Macaca fascicularis: one gene and its partners. The protein of the gene in region 1 purifies or fractionates together with the protein of each later gene. This does not show direct contact. Links are inferred from orthologs where the notes say so. Each region holds a gene or a part of one and is shown in the gene's direction. Other genes may lie near its edges.

The links. The genes of interacting proteins can lie anywhere in the genome.
Region 2: the proteins of RELA (region 1) and SP1 purify together in Homo sapiens (affinity purification with western blotting; 7 studies listed by BioGRID and IntAct, with this or other methods). This does not show direct contact. The link is inferred for Macaca fascicularis from reciprocal best matches to the Homo sapiens genes RELA and SP1.
Region 3: the proteins of RELA (region 1) and CARM1 purify together in Homo sapiens (affinity purification with western blotting; 4 studies listed by BioGRID and IntAct, with this or other methods). This does not show direct contact. The link is inferred for Macaca fascicularis from reciprocal best matches to the Homo sapiens genes RELA and CARM1.

The regions. Positions count from the first base shown.
Region 1 is NC_088388.1:8,712,900-8,716,546, forward strand, and holds the end of RELA (transcription factor p65), read left to right. Parts: intron 1-461; coding exon 462-542; intron 543-634; coding exon 635-706; intron 707-1,695; coding exon 1,696-2,300; 3' UTR 2,301-3,078; downstream 3,079-3,647. UniProt on the Homo sapiens protein: NF-kappa-B is a pleiotropic transcription factor present in almost all cell types and is the endpoint of a series of signal transduction events that are initiated by a vast array of stimuli related to many biological processes such as inflammation, immunity, differentiation, cell growth, tumorigenesis and apoptosis.
Region 2 is NC_088385.1:60,209,646-60,213,292, forward strand, and holds part of SP1 (transcription factor Sp1), read left to right. Parts: intron 1-500; coding exon 501-669; intron 670-2,302; coding exon 2,303-2,502; intron 2,503-3,557; coding exon 3,558-3,647. UniProt on the Homo sapiens protein: Transcription factor that can activate or repress transcription in response to physiological and pathological stimuli.
Region 3 is NC_088393.1:11,477,198-11,480,844, forward strand, and holds part of CARM1 (histone-arginine methyltransferase CARM1), read left to right. Parts: intron 1-256; coding exon 257-361; intron 362-2,762; coding exon 2,763-2,873; intron 2,874-3,647. UniProt on the Homo sapiens protein: Methylates (mono- and asymmetric dimethylation) the guanidino nitrogens of arginyl residues in several proteins involved in DNA packaging, transcription regulation, pre-mRNA splicing, and mRNA stability.

The DNA.
Region 1 (3,647 bases):
GAAAGACAGTTCTGAAAGCTCCGACTAAAATACGAAACCATTACAGATAAGAATAAGAGTCTGCTGAAGTGTTAAGGCAGTTGTGCCCCAGCTGCCCCAGAGTGGCAAGAAATTCTCACCGCCCTGGGTGGAGGCTGACAGTGAGCCAGGACGTGAGCAGTGCAGGAAGGCATGAGCTGGAGGCTGGGGCCCCCCAGGGCTCCTCTTTCCCCAGAGCACGGCCCCTGTACTCGGCCTCGCCATGTGGCCGTAGAGGGGCAGATTCAGCCAACAGAGGCCTCCAAAAGCTGTGGGATTCTCAGAACTGCTGGATGTCACACATCCCTTCTCACTGGCAGAGGAGGTTGGGAGAACGGGTCTTGGGAAAGCCTGGCTCCTCGGTTTCCTCCTGAGGGTCCTTTGAGAGCGTTGGGGGCCCACCTGAGGAGAGCAAGTCCCACTTCTCCCCCTTACTTTCCCAGACGATCGTCACCGGATTGAGGAGAAACGCAAAAGGACATATGAGACCTTCAAGAGCATCATGAAGAAGAGTCCTTTCAGCGGTGAGATGGGGACCGGGAAGGACAGAGAGAAAGGCAGCGGGGAGGGAGGGGACACCCTGGGGCTGAGAACTGACCCAGCCCTTGCCCTGCAGGACCCACTGACCCCCGGCCTCCACCTCGGCGCATTGCTGTGCCTTCCCGCAGCTCAGTTGTTCCCAAGCCAGGTAAGGATTTCCTTTTGTCCTACTGGAACGACAGGTTCAGCTCTGTTCAGCTGAGGAGCAGTGGAGATGCAGACTCTTGGGCCCCATTACAGACCTACTGAATCAGAGGCTTTGAAAGGATGGCGCAGGAACCAGCAACTTCTGGGACGCTAATGCATGCTGAAGCCTGGGAACCACTGTGCCAGTTAAATCCTGTACTGGGTATCTTGGGATTCAGAAGTTAAAAATGCAGAATCGGCCGGGCGCGGTGGCTCATGCCTGTAATCCCAGCACTTTGGGAGGCCGAGACGGGCAGATGACGAGGTCAGGAGATCGAGACCATCCTGGCTAACACGGTGAAACGCTGTCTCTCTTAAAAATACAAAACATTAGCCGGGCGAGGTGGCGGGCGCCTGTAGTCCCAGCTACTCGGGAGGCTGAGGCAGGAGAATGGCATGAACCTGGGAGGCGGAGCTTGCAGTGAGCTGAGATCACGCCACTGCACTCTAGCCTGGGCGACAGAGCGAGACTCCGTCTCAAAAAAAAAAAAATGCAGAATCTCTGCTTTCATCTCTCACTTGAATTAGGGGGAACAAAAATCACTTCTGAATTAGCAAGACGTATGTGCCAGTGCGAGGCTCAAAAACTGACAAGCTGTCCACTTGAGGCCGCTGCTCACTTGATGCTCCATGGGCTCATTGCCTCTCAGGACTTAGTTTTTCAGCTGTAAACCGAGGAGTCCAGCTTGTCTCTCAAAGTGTCCCTTCCTTTAAAAGGCTGGGAGAGTTTTGTGGGCTTGAGTAGTCAGGGAGGACTCCAACGTGGAGGTGTGGCTAGAACTGGACCCTACAGGCTGGGTCAGATGGGGTAAGAGGAAGGAGATAGGGTGTTGGCAGTGACTTCCTAGAGAGGGATTGAGCCTAGGCGCCATCAAGAGGGGCTGGGGTAAGAGGACGGAGTGGATCTCTAGGGCTTTCTCTGACCCCTGCCTCTCTGTCTCTCTCCTCCAGCACCCCAGCCCTATCCCTTTACGTCATCCCTGAGCACCATCAACTATGATGAGTTTCCCACCATGGTGTTTCCTTCTGGGCAGATAAGCCAGGCCTCAGCCTTGGCCCCTCCCCAAGTCCTGCCCCAGGCTCCAGCCCCTGCCCCTGCTCCAGCCATGGTATCACCTCTGGCCCAGGCCCCAGTCCTAGCCCCAGGCCCTCCTCAGGCTGTGGCCCCACCTGCCCCCAAGCCCACCCAGGCTGGGGAAGGAACGCTGTCAGAGGCCTTGCTGCAGCTGCAGTTTGATGATGAAGACCTGGGGGCCTTGCTTGGCAACAGCACAGACCCAACCGTGTTCACAGACCTGGCATCAGTCGACAACTCCGAGTTTCAGCAGCTGCTGAACCAGGGCGTACCTGTGGCCCCCCACACAACTGAGCCCATGCTGATGGAGTACCCTGAGGCTATAACTCGCCTAGTGACAGGGGCCCAGAGGCCCCCTGACCCAGCTCCTGCTCCACTGGGGGCCCCGGGGCTCCCCAACGGCCTCCTTTCAGGAGATGAAGACTTCTCCTCCATTGCGGACATGGACTTCTCAGCCCTGCTGAGTCAGATCAGCTCCTAAGGGGTGATGCCTCCCCTCCCCAGAGCACTGGCTTGCAGGGGATTGAAGCCCTCCCAGAGCACTTACGGATTCTGGTGGGGTGTGTTCCAGCTGCCCCCAACTTTGGTGATGTCTTCCTTGGAGGGGGAAGGCATATTTTATTCTTTTATTGGCAGTACCTGTATCTATCTCTCTTTTTGGAGGTGCTTAAGCAGAAGCATTAACTTCTCTGGAAAGGGGGAAGCTGGGGAAACTCAAACTCTTCCCCTGTCCTGATGGTCAGCTCCCTTCTCTGTATGGAACTATGGGGTCCCCCATCCACATCCTGCAGCTTCTAGTACTCTCCTAGAGAGAGAAGCAGGCTAGAGGTAAGGCCTTTGAGCCCACACAGCCTTATTATCAAGTGTCTTCCATCATGGATTCATTACACCTTGAAATAACGCCCCAGGTACCAGCCCCTCTATGGCATTGGCATTGTCGCTGTGCCTAACACCAGCATTTGAGGGGCTGGCCTTCGTGCCCCACAGAGGTCTCTGCCGGCTCTTTCCTTGCTCAGCTGTGGCTGAAGGAAACCAGTGGAACAACGCTGGCTCTCTCAAGGATCCAGAGGGGGTTTGGTCTGGGACTTCCCTGCTCTCCCTCTTCTCAAGTGCCTTAATTGAGGGCAAGTTGTTAAAGAGAGTCGGGGAGAGCAGGCTGGCAGCTCTCCAGTCAGGAGGCATAGTTTTCACCGAAGAATCAAAGCACTTGGACTCTTGCTCTTTCTACTCTTGAATTAATAAATCTGTTGCCAAGCTGGCTAGATTCGCTTTTTTTCAGCAGACACTGAGCACACACTTTGCTAGTCACATCAGGCCGGACATTGGTGGTAGAGAGCTGGGTGAATGCGTGCACTGTCCTCTGAGAGCCTGCAGTCTGAGAATGCCCTTGGAAACCCCGAGTTACTGTCCAGTGGATGAAAACGGGCAACTAAGGCAGGAGTCCTAACACACCGAGAGCCTAGTAGGGCCCACTGACTGGGGATTGAGCAATTTCAGGAGTCTTCCCGGAGGCCCCATTTGCTCCAGGTCTTAGATCAGCTGAGAGTGGATCTCGCAGAGGGACTAGCCAGCGTCAGAGGTAAGAGAAACGATGTTCGAAAGATTTGATGGGGCCAGGAAATTTGGACTTAATTCCTTGGGTGGCCCAGGGAGTGTGTGCTTCTCTCTTGGGGATGTGTAGTGCCAGGTGAAGATCTACCCTGCCCCACCGATGCTTTGATACTCTGTTCTGGGAGGAACGGTGAAAGCTTCAATCCACAGCCTCAGGAAGCCAAAACAAAGGCCCAGCCGCAGCCCACAGGGCTACAGCTGGACGTACTTCCGCTTT
Region 2 (3,647 bases), on another chromosome or scaffold:
GACGGAGTCTCGCTCTGTCACCCAGGCTGGAGTGCAGTGGCCGGATCTCAGCTCACTGCAAGCTCCGCCTCCCGGGTTTACACCATTCTCCTGCCTCAGCCTCCCGAGTAGCTGGGACTACAGGCACCCGCCACTGCGCCCGGCTAGTTTTTTGTATTTTTTAGTAGAGACGGGGTTTCACCGTGTCAGCCAGGATGGTCTCGATCTCCTGACCTCGTGGTCCGCCCGTCTCGGCCTCCCAAAGTGCTGGGATTACAGGCTTGAGCCACCGCGCCCGGCCCACTCTTTGTATTTTCAATGATGATTCTTGAGATTTCAGTGAGTCTTCAGGTGTCAGTGAATGGAATGGCTGAACATTTTAAAAAGGCTTCAAAACTTGTGATACTGTGAACGTAGGATGTCAGTTCAAAAGAAATGATGCCGTGACTGTAGGGTATCACTGAGATGCCAGTGATAACCTGCCCGTGTCACATGTTGACTCTTTTCTCTCTTAATTATAGGTGATCATGGAGCTCAGCTTGGTCTCCATGGGGCTGGTGGTGATGGAATACATGATGACACAGCAGGTGGAGAGGAAGGAGAAAACAGCCCAGATGCCCAACCCCAAGCCGGTCGGAGGACCCGGCGGGAAGCATGCACCTGCCCCTACTGTAAAGACAGTGAAGGAAGGTGAGTTGACCCAGCAAGTTTCTTACAAATATGAAGAAAAAATAATAGGATTTGGAGGAAAGAGGAAGAAGGTTAATTTTTTTTTTTTTTTTTTTGAGACCGAGTCTTACTCTGTCTCCCAGGCTGGAGTGCAGTGGCGCCATCTCGGCTTACTGCAACCTCTGCCTCCCGGGTTTAAGCAATTCCCCCTGCTTTAGCCTCCCAAGTCACTGGGATTACAAGCATGTAATCCACACCTGGCTAATTTTGTATTTTTAGTAGAGATGGGGTTTCACCAGGTTGGTCAGTGAACTCCTGACCTCAGGTGATCTGCCCACCTTGGGCTCCCAAAGTGCTGGGATTACAAGCATGACCCACCGTGCCTGGCCTTGGGTTTTTTTGTTTGTTTGTTTTTTGTTTTTTTGTTTTTTTTTTTTTGAGACAGAGTCTTGCTCTGTGGCCAGGCTGGAGTGCAGTGGTGTGCGATCTTGGTTCACTGCAACCTCTGCCTCCCGGGTTCAAGTGATTCTTCTGCCTCAGCCTCCTGAGTAGCTAGGACTACAGGCATGCACCACCATGTCCAGCTAATTTTTGTGTTTTTAGTAGAAATGGGGTTTCACCACGTTGGCCAGGGTGGTCTCAATCTCTTGACCTTGTGATGCACCCTCCTTGGCCTCCCAAAGTGCTGAGATTACAGTTGTGAGCCACTGTGCCCAGCTTAACTTTTAAATTTTTTATAGAGATGGGATTTCCCTGTGTTGCCCAGGCTGGTCTCAAACTCCTGGGCTTAAGCAGTCCTCCTGCCTTAGCCCCACAAATTGTTGGGATTACAGGCGTTAGCCACTGCACCCAGCCTAGAAGCCTTTTTAAAAATTTAATTTAATTTAATTTTTTTTGAGACTGAGTCTCGCTCTGTCGCCCAGGCTGGAATGCAGTGGCGCAGTCTCGGCTCACTGCAAGCTCTGCCTCCCAGGTTCACGCCATTCTCCTGTCTCAGCCTCCCGAGTAGCAGGGACTACAGGTGCCCGCCACCACGCCTGGCTAATTTTTTTTGTATTTTTAGTAGAGACAGGGTTTCACCGTGTTAGCCAGGATGGTTTCAATCTCCTGACCCTGTGATCCGCCTGCCTCCGCCTCCCAAAGTGCTGGGATTACAGGCGTGAGCCACCGCGCCCAGCCCCTAGAAGGCTTTTTAAAAGGAAGCCTTGGTCCATCGCGGTGGCTCACGCCTGTAATCCCAGCACTTTGGGAGGTGGAGGCAGGCAGATCCATCACCTGAGGTTAGGGATTCGAGACCAGCCTGGCCAACATGGCGAAACCTCATCTGTACTAAAAATACACAATTCAACTGGACATGGTGGCGTGCACCTGTTGGTGCACTGGACATAGTGGCGTGCATCCTAGCTACTCGGGAGGCTGAGGCAGGAGAATCATTTGAACCTAGGAGGTGTGAGCCGTGATCATGCCGTTGTACTCCAGCCTGGACGACAGAGTGAGACTCTGTCTCAAAAAAACAAAACAAAAAAGAAGGCTTTTTCAAAAAATAAAAGTTTGGGTTAGTTTGGTGTAGGTTGGGTGACTGTTGTTGATACTTTGTGGTTCTTTAGTTTCTGTCTCTAGAATGAATGATAAATAGTTGTATCCTCACTTTCAGGGGCTCGGGGGATCCTGGCAAAAAGAAACAACATATTTGCCACATCCAAGGCTGTGGGAAAGTGTATGGCAAGACTTCACACCTGCGGGCACACTTGCGCTGGCATACAGGCGAGAGGCCATTTATGTGTACCTGGTCATACTGTGGGAAACGCTTCACACGTTCAGATGAGCTACAGAGGCACAAACGTACACACACAGGTGAGCAAGAGCCTATGGGAGAAAAATAGAGTAATAGCCTAGAATGAAAAACACAAAATATACCTACAAAATAACTAAAATTTCTGAACAACTTAATTTGAAACTAAATATATGGGTCACAAATGGAATTGGAGTTAATCTGGAAACCTTTTAAGAAGGAAGGAGGAGCTGCGCACAGTGGCTCACACCTGTAATCCCAGCACTTTGGGAGCCCAAGGTGGGCGGATCATGAGGTCAGGAGATCAAGACCATCCTGGCTAACACGGTGAAACCCCATCTCTAAAAATACAAAAAAATTAGCCGGGCATGGTGGCAGGCTCCTGTAGTCCCAGCTACTCGGGAGGCTGAGGCAGGAGAATGGCAGGAACCTGGGAGGCGGAGCTTGCAGTGAGCCAAGATTGTGCCACTGCACTCCAGCCTGGGCGACAGAGTGAGACTCCGTCTCAAAAAAAAAAAAAAAGGAAGGAGTTGGGTGCGGTGGCTCACGCCTGTAATCCCAGCACTTTGGGAGGCCGAGGTGGTTGGATTTCTTGAGGTCAGGAGTTTGAGACCAGCCTGACCAATATGGGGAAACCTTGTCTCTACTAAAATTACAAAAGTCAAGCGTGCTGGCGCACACCCGTAATCACAGCTACTCGGGAGGCTGAGGGAGGAGAATTGCTTGAACCCAGGAGGTGGAGGTTACAGTGAGCTGAGATTGTGCCACTGCACTCCAGCCTAGGCGACAGAGCAAGACTGTCTCAAAAAAAAAAAAAAGGAAGGAACTAGATTTTGAGTGGGATGTTTTGAAGGCAAAGCGTTGAAACCATTACTCTTAGTCTCTGCCCTGCCTTACTTTTCTGCTAAGTTCTACCCTCCTTACTGAGTACTCCCCAACCTTTATCTACTTTTCTTCCCCACGCCCCCACCAAAGGAAAAGATACTTGAAGATTTTTCTTGTTTTTAATCATCTTCTCATACTGGTCTTACTCAGCTTAGTAGAGTAATTACTGAACTGGGTAAGATAACCTCACTTCCTAACATGTCAGCTTCTTATCTTTCCTTCCTTTACCTAGGTGAGAAGAAATTTGCCTGCCCTGAGTGTCCTAAGCGCTTCATGAGGAGTGACCACCTGTCAAAACATATCAAGACCCACCAGAATAAGA
Region 3 (3,647 bases), on another chromosome or scaffold:
GGGTGGCTTCCAGGTCCAGGCAGCATCCAGCTGTTGCCGTCGGCTGCAGTGATAGTGGTGGTGTCCTCCTGGGGGCTGCCCTCCGGCCTCCTGCTCCCTCTCCTGGAGCTGCTAGTGGGGCCCAGGCAGAGGGTGCATGGCCTCCTGAGGGAGGTTCGTGCCTAAGATGGCCCCTTCCTCTATCACAGGGCTGGCCAGGGCCTTGACTGCCTCGTGCCACCATGTGCCCCGTGCCATTGGTGTGTCTCTGTTCCAGTTTTATGGCTACCTGTCCCAGCAGCAGAACATGATGCAGGACTACGTGCGGACAGGCACCTACCAGCGCGCCATCCTGCAAAACCACACTGACTTCAAGGACAAGGTGAGCGGCCCGTGCACGTGCCCACCTCTCTGCTTCTGCCTTTTTTTTTTTTTTTCTTTGCTCATTGATTTTATCTTCAAAAATCTCAGATTAGAAATGCATTTATCCCAGCTACTGTGGAGGCTGAGGCAGGAGGATCGCTTCAGCCCAGGAGTTTGAGGCTTCAGTAAGCTATGATTGCACCACTGCGCTCCAGCCTGGGCCACAGAGCGAGACTCTTGTCTCTTAAAAAAAAACAAAAAAGAAAAACAAATGCATTTAATATATAAACTCAACACAGCATGTACATTATAGACTTAAGAGGCCTCTATCAGTTCTCTCCGAGACAGCTGCTGCCCCTCAGTATGAGGTCTCTTCTTCCAGATTTTTCCCTATGCAGACATCAGCGTATATTTTACAATTATTTTATTGAGCTAGGCAGAGTAGCTCACACCTGTCTGTGATCCTAGCATTTTGGGAGGCCAAGGCAGGAGGATCATTTGAGCCTGCGAGGTTGAAACTGCAGTGAGCTGTGATTGGGGCACTGCTCTCCAGGCTAAGCCCCAGCATGAGACCCTGCCTCAAGAACAAAATTAATAAATAAGCTTTTTAATATCACCAAATAACGTGCACTCATGATTAAAGAGAGAGAGCAGAGCAGAGCGTCTGTATTCAAAAGTAGAAATCGGCCAGGCACGGTGGTTCATGCCTGTAATCCCAGCACTTTGGGAGGCTGAGGCAGATGGATCACTTGAGGTAGAAACGTAATCCCTTCTCATCCCATTTACCAGAGTTTTTAGTGTCTATTTTTTTTTTGAGATGGAGTCTTGCTCTGTTGCCCAGGCTGGAGTGCAGTGGTATAATTTTGGCTCACTGCAATCTCTGCCTCCCAGGTTCAAGCGATTCTCCTGCCTCAGCCACCTGAGTAGCTGGGACTACAGGCGCCTACCACCACGCCCAGCTAATTTTTGAGTTTTTGGTAGAGACGGGGTTTCACCATGGTGGCCAGGATGGTCTCGATCTCTTGACCTCGTGATCCGCCCACCTCATCCTCCCAAAATGCTTGGATTACAGGCATGAGCCACCGCACCCGGCTTACTCAGTTTTCGTTTTCTCTTTCTGTTTTTTGGGGTTTTTTTGAGACAGATTATCACTCTGTCCCCCAGGCTGTAGTGCAGTGGCACAATTCAGCTCACTGCAGCCTCCACCTCCTGGGTTCAAGCAGTTCTTGTGCCTCAGCCACCCAAGTAGCTGGGATTACAGTCATATGCCACCATGCCTGGCTGATTTTTGTATTTTTAGTTGAGATGGGGTTCTGCCATGTTGCCCAGGCTTGTCTCAAACTTCTGGCCTCAAGCAGTTCGTCCACCTCAGCCTCCCAAAGTGCTGAGATTACGGGCGTGAGCCGCCGCATCCAGCCTGTTTTCTCTTTTGAATCAAATGGGAGCCTGTTTTTTTCCTCCGAGTATTTTGGGGATCTCTCCACGTGGATCTTCCTCATCTAGCATCTGGGTCATGCCCCCCTAGCATCGCTTACCATCCCAGAGGATGGCAGGCCCTGGGCCCCAGGGAGGGGTTGTCCTGACACAGAAGGAGTGTCGGCCCCGGCTGGGTCATCCCGAGCCTCCTCCTGGCCGCTGAGGTCTGGGAAGGGCATCCTCTATTGGTGAAGTCCCTTCCCGCTCCCTGAGGATGGAGATTCATTTTCTGATTCATCTGGAGCTCTGAGCGGTACCCTGAGGCCTTCCCACCTGACACCAGCTTCCCTTACAGGCACTCACCGTGCCCAGAACATTTGTCCTTCAAAAGCTCATGCCTGTCACCACCAGGAATGTCTGCCCTTGGTCTGCTCGTGTGGAAGCAATCCCACAAATCCAGAACAGGTGGTGTGTTCTCCCAGACCCTGGCCTGGACTCTGCCATGAGTGACCATAACAGGGGCCAGTAGCCCTGCGGGGAACCCAGCTGGCCCTGGGGCTTGGGCGGCTCACCTACCCCGGCCAAGACAGGCTGCTTCTCCAGGCACCACGAGTCAGCATGGAACTGGGAGACGCTGCCGCCGACGCCTCGGGCCCTTTCCTCCATGCTAAAACTGCAGATGCAGGCCCTGGAAAAATGCTCTTCAACTGGCAGTGAGCTTCCAGGGGAGGCCCATGCCTCTCGCCCCAGACGATCCGGAGGCCTGCAGGCCCCGGGTTGGGGCCGAGCGGGAGCTTCCCCAGGGCTTCTCCCAGAGGACTGGCCCATGGCTCATCTTGAGTTCTCGCTTCATTTTGACCAACAGTCCATAAAGGGCAAACACTGAGAGTGAAGACCGACCCAGGTGTTGACGCCTCATAACTTGCACATCCCTTATGATCACTGTCACCTCCCGATCACCATCACCTCCTGTGTCTCGCTCTCACCTCCCACTCCTCCCTTAGATCGTTCTTGACGTTGGCTGTGGCTCCGGGATCCTGTCGTTTTTTGCCGCCCAAGCTGGAGCACGGAAAATCTACGCGGTGGAGGCCAGCACCATGGCCCAGCACGCCGAGGTCAGTGGCCCGCTGGTGCCCACCCAGCCTCATCCTCACCCATGAGTGCCATTCTGGCCCCAGCCTAGAGAAGCCTGGGAACCCCCAGGAGGCTGGGGACGTTACTTCTGTGCTTTGATCTCTTTGTTGTCCCCAAAACAGTCATTGCAGGGAGGGGCTTCAGGGCCTGGGATGATTTCCCCTCATGACCGGCAGTCAGGGGCACAGGTCATTTCCCTGTTTTCTTTTTTTTTTTTTTGCACTGAAACCTTCATTCACAAAGTTCAAAATGTAAAAGCTAAAAAAGAGCAAACAGCGTGCTGTCCTCACCGACCCCTGCTCCCACCCCCTAGCCCCATCACGAGAGAGGAGCTACGGCCATAAAGTCTGAGCAAAGCTGTTCCGTGGCTGTAGACGTGAGCGTCCTCTCACACCAGCAGAGGCTGCACCTTCCTGTCCCTGCTCTACCTCTCCCATGGATCTGGGGTCACCTGGGTCATGGAGGGGCCATCCTTGCTCTGTCTTGCAGCCGCAGAGCACCCCCATGCCCAGCCGTGCCGCTGTTGCTTTAGCTGCATTGTGTCCGTAGTGACATTCAGACTCCTTCCAGGTCTTCACATGGCCGACGCTGCTGTCCTCTAATCCTACCACTTTGGGAGGCTTAGGCGGGCGGATCATCTGAGGTCAGGAGTTTGAGACCAGCCTGACCAACATGGCGAAACCCCGTCTCTACTAAAAATACAAAGAATTAGCCGGGCATGGCGGTGGGTGCCTGTAGTCCCAGCCACTCGGGAG